2 linked regions of the Cricetulus griseus genome follow. The protein of the gene in region 1 interacts with the protein of each later gene in a pairwise test. Links are inferred from orthologs where the notes say so. Each region holds a gene or a part of one and is shown on either strand. Other genes may lie near its edges. The genes, in order: Exoc1 and Sptan1.

Evidence for each region.
Region 2: the proteins of Exoc1 (region 1) and Sptan1 interact in a two-hybrid assay, tested with the Homo sapiens proteins (2 studies listed by BioGRID and IntAct). The link is inferred for Cricetulus griseus from reciprocal best matches to the Homo sapiens genes EXOC1 and SPTAN1.

What each region holds. Positions count from the first base shown.
Region 1 is NW_023276807.1:142,974,835-142,978,655, forward strand, and holds part of Exoc1 (exocyst complex component 1), read left to right. Parts: intron 1-1,783; exon of another isoform or gene 1,784-1,991; intron 1,992-2,714; 5' UTR 2,715-2,724; coding exon 2,725-2,848; intron 2,849-3,800; coding exon 3,801-3,821.
Region 2 is NC_048599.1:141,660,654-141,664,474, forward strand, and holds part of Sptan1 (spectrin alpha chain, non-erythrocytic 1), read left to right. Parts: intron 1-366; coding exon 367-502; intron 503-1,418; coding exon 1,419-1,520; intron 1,521-2,253; coding exon 2,254-2,391; intron 2,392-3,499; coding exon 3,500-3,610; intron 3,611-3,821. UniProt on the Homo sapiens protein: Fodrin, which seems to be involved in secretion, interacts with calmodulin in a calcium-dependent manner and is thus candidate for the calcium-dependent movement of the cytoskeleton at the membrane.

The sequences.
Region 1 (3,821 bases):
CACAGCTTTTTCTGCTGGCTAGTGGCCTTAGAGAAGTAAAGAACAAACGCTGTTTATGGAGATTGATGATGGAGAATAAATTGGCCTGCAAGTATGGTTAAAATGATCAAAGGGGATAGCTACTGTGGGTATAGGGAAATGAGTGCCACCTCCAGGCTGGCTTGGGAAAGAAGTTAGACACCTAAGGCTCGCGATGAGGTGGATGAAGGATGGAGATGGAAGGTGTAGGTTAGATGAGAAAAAGTTTTGCACTTGGAATATGGATAGAAGCTTCACAGAGTAAAGTGTAGAAGAGGCACAGTTTGTAGGATTTCTACAAAGAAGTCATTGTCCTATAAAAATTTAATTAAAGCTCATGTTTTCTTCCTTTTCCCATCGAAAGAAATGGTATTGTAAGAAATTAATCTCAAAGGCACATTTGCATTGGAAAATAGTAGATACATAAAAGGAAAAGCATTTAAATTATTCTCATTAACAATTGAAGTTTTTTTAAGTAAAACTACTTTATTATTTAAATCTAGGCAGGAATATACAATATCAAAATTTCAGGAGAAAAAATTCTGAACATTAAGAGTAAGTGTAAAAATGTTCTAATATGCTTATATTCTCCATTTGCCTTTTCCTTCATTCATTCACTGTATTGTGGGGCACTTCCCATAGCTTTTTAAAAAATAATATAAAACTATTCTGTATTTTATTCAATATTTAGGTTTTAAACATTTTTAACATTTTTTATTAATTTATTTTTTACATTCCAATCCCAGTTCCCTCTCCCTCCTCCCCTCTCGATCTCCCCCATCCCTCTCCCCCAGTTCTCCTGTCCTCAGAGAGGGTAAGGCCTCCCCTAGGAAGTCTACTAAGTCTGTCCCATCATCTCATTGAGGCAGGACCAGGGCACCTCCCCACCCCCAGACCCCTGTGTCTAGCCTTAGCAAGGTGTCTCTTCATATAGAATAGGCTCCACTAATTCAGTTTGTGCATTAGAGATAGATCTTGGACCCACTACCAGTGGCCTCATATATTGTTCCAGTCACACCATTGTCACCTGTATTAAGGGAGTCTAGTTCAGTCTTATGCAGGTTCCCCATTTGTCAGACAGGAGTCAGGAAGATTTTTTAAAATTAATTTAATGTTTGAAGAAAGACTGAATTAGATGAGAAGAAAAGAAATGGAAAGCTACTTTTACAGTGATCTTATGTGTAATTCACTTATAAGATTTCCCCACTTGGTGTCCTATCATTATTTAGTATATTCACAAGTTTTTACACCATCAAACTAAGTGAAGAACGTTTTTCTCTCCCCATTAGCAGCTGTTTCTACTTTTCATTGCCATCTCCTAGCAACTGCTCATCTTTCTGTCTTCATGAATTTTTTTTTCCCCATTTCATTATCTGTCCATTGATGAACATTTGACTTGCTCCTACTTTTTGGCTACTGCAAAATGTAGTTCACCTTCTGTGTCTGCAGGTTCCAAATCCATTCATTGAACCAGCCACCAAATGAAGATATTTGGGGGAAAATGGTTTTTGTGTTGAGCAAGTATGGAGTTGTTTTTTGTTGTTGTTGTTTTTTATCTTTAAACAATACAAATAACAAGCCTTATATAGCATTTGCATTGCATTTGGAATTGTAAATAGTCTAGAGATGATACAAATCTGTAGATTATATTCTAGCATTCTATGTTAAGGACCTTAGACATCTGTGGGTTTGGTATCTATAGGGGGCCCTGGAGATGGTGCCTCCCCACATATACTGAGGTTGGTTGTCATGTTTCTGTGAACACTCACATGTGAGTTTTTCTGTGAATATCTTTTCATAATTTCTTTTGGGAGCTGTGTGCTAGATAACAATGGTAGTTGCATGCATGACTTTGAAGACCCCACCAGACTGTTTTCTGAAGCAATCCCACCAGCTGTATGGAAGAGGCTCCTTCATCAGTACTTCTGTTGCGATCCTTTTGATCCTTTTTAGCTTCCGAACATGTGAAAGTAGTAGGTATCTCACTGTGGATTTCATTTGTGTTTCCCAAGTGGTCTATGATATGGAATGGTTTTGGTTTCTTTTATGAGTCTGCCAAAAGCCAAAGAGCAGCTCCATACAGTTTTCCTTAAGGCATCATCCATCCCCTCCCCCTTTTTTAGACATGGTCTCTCACCAGACTGGCACTCCACAAATAAGTGAGGCAATGGTCAGTGAACCCCAGGGGTCTGCTTGACTCTGTCTTCTCAGTGCTAGGTTAAAAGCAGGGCTCACCATGCACTGCTTGTTGTGTGAGCTTTAGAGGTCAAACAAGATGGGGCTTGTGTCATTCTTGTGAGGAAGCGCTTTACCAACAGAGCTATTGCCCCAGCCCAATACTGAACACTTTTTTTGTATATTTATTGACTATTTGTATGTGTTGTATGTGTTTGTGTGTGCATATATGTATGTATGTGTATGTATGGATATGAGTATATATATGATTATTTGTGTCTGTGTTTCCACTTTAAGTGTTGTTGAGCACTTGGAAAGATTTTTTTACTGTGACAATACTAGTTTTTTTCTGATTCATTTCCAAACTTGTAGCCTCATGCTTTTATGATGTACATATATTAATATATTTATGTGTTTACTAATGAAGACTTAATCATTTGAGTTGTAAATGGAACAGTTTATGAGGGAAGGCAGAGATTTTGATAATGAGCACAATACCTCTATCCTAAATTCTTTTTCAGCTGAGAAAAGATGACAGCGATCAAGCACGCGTTACAGAGAGATATCTTCACTCCGAATGATGAGCGCCTGCTGAGCATTGTGAATGTCTGCAAAGCAGGCAAAAAGAAAAAGAACTGTTTTCTGTGTGCTACAGGTGGGCATTTTTTAAGCAAAAATATGTACTTGATAATCCTTCATTCCTTAGGGTCATTTCTTTCTTTTAAAAGTATTTTCATTGTTTCTATAACTGGAGAAAATTATTGAACTGACAAATTAATTTTTAATTGTTTCTATTGAATATTTAGTGTGTGTAAAAAAAATTTTATATAGTGTAAGATGAGAGCTCCAGTATCTTTGAATTGCCATCGTCTTCCTTACTCCATTCCACTTTACAGCAACAGGTGTCTGGTCTCCTGAATCTTACCATGTTCCCCATGTATGATTTCCAACTATATATTATTTTGTTTTGCTTATCTTTAAACTTTTAATTAATTGAATTATAATTCTTTGTGACCCCTCCCATTCAACAGTACCTTCATGAGCATTTTGTTCATAATTGTTATTGTTTGGAGAACCATTTGCTTTTCAAATGTATCAGCATCCATTCCAAATCTAAACTCCATTTGTTGCCAGAGTCATGTTTTGAAACTAGAAACTAGAGCATTCTGTTTCTGTAATAGCAGCTCGTACTGCCTTAGATGGAGCCCTTGAAGAACTCAGCACCGTCTTTTGTGGTAATTTCATTTCCATCCACCTTCTATTACACTGTGAGGCCTGCATTGGATCATTTCCTCTTGCTCTTTGTGATGACATTAGGCTCTTTCAGGACTCTGCACTTACACATGTCAATCATTAAATTTCCCTCCTACGCCCTTTAAAACAGGTCCTAAGCTATACCTCTCAAGGCATCTGTCTGCCTTTGACCTTCTAGTCTGATTTAGATGCTTCCTTTAGGATTCTGTGAATTCCTCAGTTGACTTATTACAAAATATTGCACTTATTTTAGTGTCACCCTACCAGGCACCTGAAAGTGACATTTACAGTGAGTGAATGAAGATGAGTAGATGACTAAAATTGCTAACAGTCATGTGTATCTTGTTCAACAGTGACAACTGAACGCCCCGTGC
Region 2 (3,821 bases), on another chromosome or scaffold:
ATCATGTATTAAAACTCAGTAAATGAAGAATTGAAAAGGTAAAGAACACTTCTTTCTCACCTTGAGTTGGCCCTGGGAATAACAGGGAAGTTAAAGATGATGGTGAGTTAGTGGCAGTGACTAGCCAGGACAATATAAGGGGACTCATCTCAAACAGCAAAAAACGTGACACAAGGTGGGAGCCTAAGCATGAACAATATAACCTGTTTTTCTGCCTTTTGCTGTCTTTAAGTTCAGCGAAGTTTTCCTTTCCCGGAACTAGGGTTTGTATGGTTGACATTTGAGAACAGAATTCAGAACTGTAGGAAAGCCATCTTCTGTCCTGGGACCACTACTGAAAGTGACATACTTTTTATTTTTCCCAAGGCTTCAGCGCTTTCTGGCTGACTTTCGTGACCTCACGAGCTGGGTGACTGAAATGAAAGCACTCATCAATGCAGATGAACTGGCGAATGATGTGGCTGGTGCTGAAGCTCTGCTGGATAGGCATCAGGAGCACAAGGTAGTATTTCCATGATCTTGCACAACTCACAGAGAACCTCTTGCCTCTGCGTCCCAAGTGCTGGGATCAAAGGCTTGTACCACTACCACCCTGTTTCAAGAATGTTTTAAAGAACTTGTTAGGTGCGGTGCATAATTTTAATCCCAGCACTGGGGAGACAGAGGCAGATGGACTTTTTAAGTTCCATGCCAGCCTGGTCTGCATAATGAGTTCTATGCCAGTCAGGGCTATCAGTGAGACCCTGCCTCAAGAAAAACAAAAACAAAAACATGTTCATTGAAAGACATTGCAAAAAAGATTGACCACATGAAATGACATCGAATGGATGGTCTTTATGAATGTATACATTCAATTCATTGCCTGTCAAAAGCCCAACAAATCTGTGAGCATTTGCACCGAATAAGCTTAGTCTCAAAAAGCTAAGGCAATTTTGAGGAACATGGTATATGTGGGGGGCCGTGATTCACTTTACCAGGTGCTATAAAATTGTAGTAAACAAGTCCATGTGGCATAAAAAACAATAATGGGCATTGTGAACATGTGGTGGCTTGGTTAATGACATGTGGCCTATAGAGCCGGTGGCAAGCTCTTCTTGGTTGGCTTACACTGACAGCTAGGAAATACTTTGAACCTGCTACTCTGTTTCTTTTCTTTTTCTTTCTTTCTTTCTTTTTTTTTTGTTTTCGTTTTTGTTTTGTTTTGTTTCTTTGAGACAGGGTTTCTCTTTAGCTTTGGAGCCTTTACTGTAGATCAGGCTGGCCTCAAACTCAGAGATCCACCTGCCTCTGTCTCTCAAGTGCTGGAATTAAAGGCATGCTGGAATTAAAGGCATGTGTGCTGCGCGCACACGTGCAGGCCCCCCCCCCTCCCGTTACCATTCAAAAATGCTGAAAATATTCTATCTCTTACTTTACAGGGTGAGATTGATGCTCATGAAGATAGCTTTAAGTCTGCAGATGAGTCTGGGCAGGCTCTGCTCACAGCTGGTCACTATGCCTCAGATGAAGTGAGGGAGAAGGTAAGATAATGAAAAGGGGCTTTTAAAGAGAAAGCCTGGACCATAGAATGCTTCTCTATCCCCGTAGCCAATTAGGGGCCCACCATCAATTTAAAGCACTTATTGGCCCAAGATTTTGCCACAAAGAGGCAACTTTTTCCTATAGAGATTTAATAAAGATGTATGTGACTGGTTGTGGTGGCATATACTTTTAAATTCCAACACTTGGGAGGAAGGGGCAGGCAGGCAGTTCTTTGTCAGTTTGAGGTCAATGTGGTCTATATAGCAAGTTCCAGACCATCTAGAACTTGTTCCCCAAGCTGTATAGAGCCTATCTTGTAGGGAGAAAATATGTATTTGTAATATTTTGTTCCAAGAATTTTTTTTTTCTTTTAAATTTCAAGCATGTGAGAGCCAGTCCTGTTTTAGTAGTTAGAGTGAGTGGGAAACAAATTGTAAAGTGTTTTGGGATGCCCACTCAGTTGACAGCTCTCTATGTCCGTGGTATCACTTTCAGAGTCTTTCATCTACCATCTCCTAGAATGTTTATGATAATATGACAGTAAATTCTAGGTTAGTCAGGATGAGATTCTTGTGGATAGCACACACATGCCAGTTCTGAGGTATTTGTATATTTCTCACAATAAGCTTACATACATTAAGTGCTATTACATGAAGAAATGCCTAAAGCCTAGCATGAGCAACCCCATGTCTCCCAGAAGGTGGAAGGTAATTTTGCTTCCTGTTCCCCAAGCTGAGCATCCTCTCAGAGGAGAGAACCACCCTACTGGAACTGTGGGAGCTTCGGAGGCAGCAGTATGAACAGTGCATGGACTTGCAGCTCTTCTACCGTGATACTGAACAGGTGGACAACTGGATGAGCAAGCAGGAGGTAATGTATCAGGAACCCTACCAGGGAATACAGGGTCATGCCCTACCTCTCCAGTGAGTGCTGGTTTTGTTTCAGGACATCTGAGCCATTGTGATTAGAATGAAGAAGGGAACTAAGCAGGTTTACTTTGGCCCTGTCTGCCTCTGGTATTGCTGAGATAGGAAGGCACTTAAAAGAAAAAATTGTGCAGTACAAAAAAGGTTTCTAAATGTAAAAGAAGCTACGAGAGCTATGTAAGAGCTGGGGTGGTGCCTATTTGCATCATACTCAAAGCTATGGCAGGAGGGTCACAAGTTCAAGGAGCTACCCAGGAAATTAAAGAGCATGTGAACTGCATAGTGAGACCTGTCTCAATATCCTCCCTCCCTTAAAAGAAATAATTAGAAAAGTGGTTGGTAAATATGGCAAGAATCATTTTCCAGTGCTCCTGGTGGATTTTTTGTTTTGTTTTGGCTTTTTCAAGACAGGGTTTTTGTGTAGATTTGGCGCCTATCCTGGCACTGCTGAGGCATCTCTCCATATCTTCACCCCCCCCCCACCCCCGTTGAATTTTTTTATTTTTTATTTTGTTTTATTTATTTATTTATTTATTTATTTTGGCTTTTTCCAGACAGGGTTTCCCTGTGTAGCTTTGGAACCTGTCCCTCTGTAGACCAGGCTGGCCTCGAACTGACAGAGATCCGCCTGCCTCTGCCTTCCGAGTGCTGGGATTAAAGGCGTGTGCCACCAACGTCCAGCCCCTGGTTGATTTTTGAGAGAATATAAAAACTGTAGACTTGGACGGGTGTTGGTGGCGCACGCCTTTAATCCCAACACTTGGGAGGCAGAGGCAAGTAGATCTTTGTGAGTTCGAGACCAGCCTGGTCTACAAGAGCTAGTTCCAGGACAGCCTCCAAAGCCACTGAGAAACTCTGTCTCGAAAAACAAACAAAACAAAACAAAAAAAAAAAAAAAACAATAAAAATAGACTTTGTAGTAGTGATCTGAGAAGTTGGATTTCCATTGAAAATTTCTTGTCTGTGTTTTGTCAAAATCTGCTTTTGCTTGTGGGCTATAGATGAATGAGCATCCCCTGATGCTGCACACACACTTGCTTTCCTTTCTCCAGGCATTCCTGCTAAACGAAGATTTGGGTGACTCCTTAGACAGTGTGGAAGCTCTTCTGAAGAAGCATGAGGACTTTGAGAAATCCCTCAGTGCCCAAGAAGAAAAAATCACAGTAAGACCCTTATTGTCATGTGGTCCACAGAATAAACAATCCCCTTCTGAGAGGTTGGGGAGCTCTCTGCAGAGTACTCCCGGGAACATGTATGACCTCATGATGACATCATTCGATCTTGTACATGTAACACAGCTTTATGGAGCAGAATCACTTGATTGATGGAAACCTCCCAATTAAGATGTAACTTTGACTGACACTAAATCAGAGT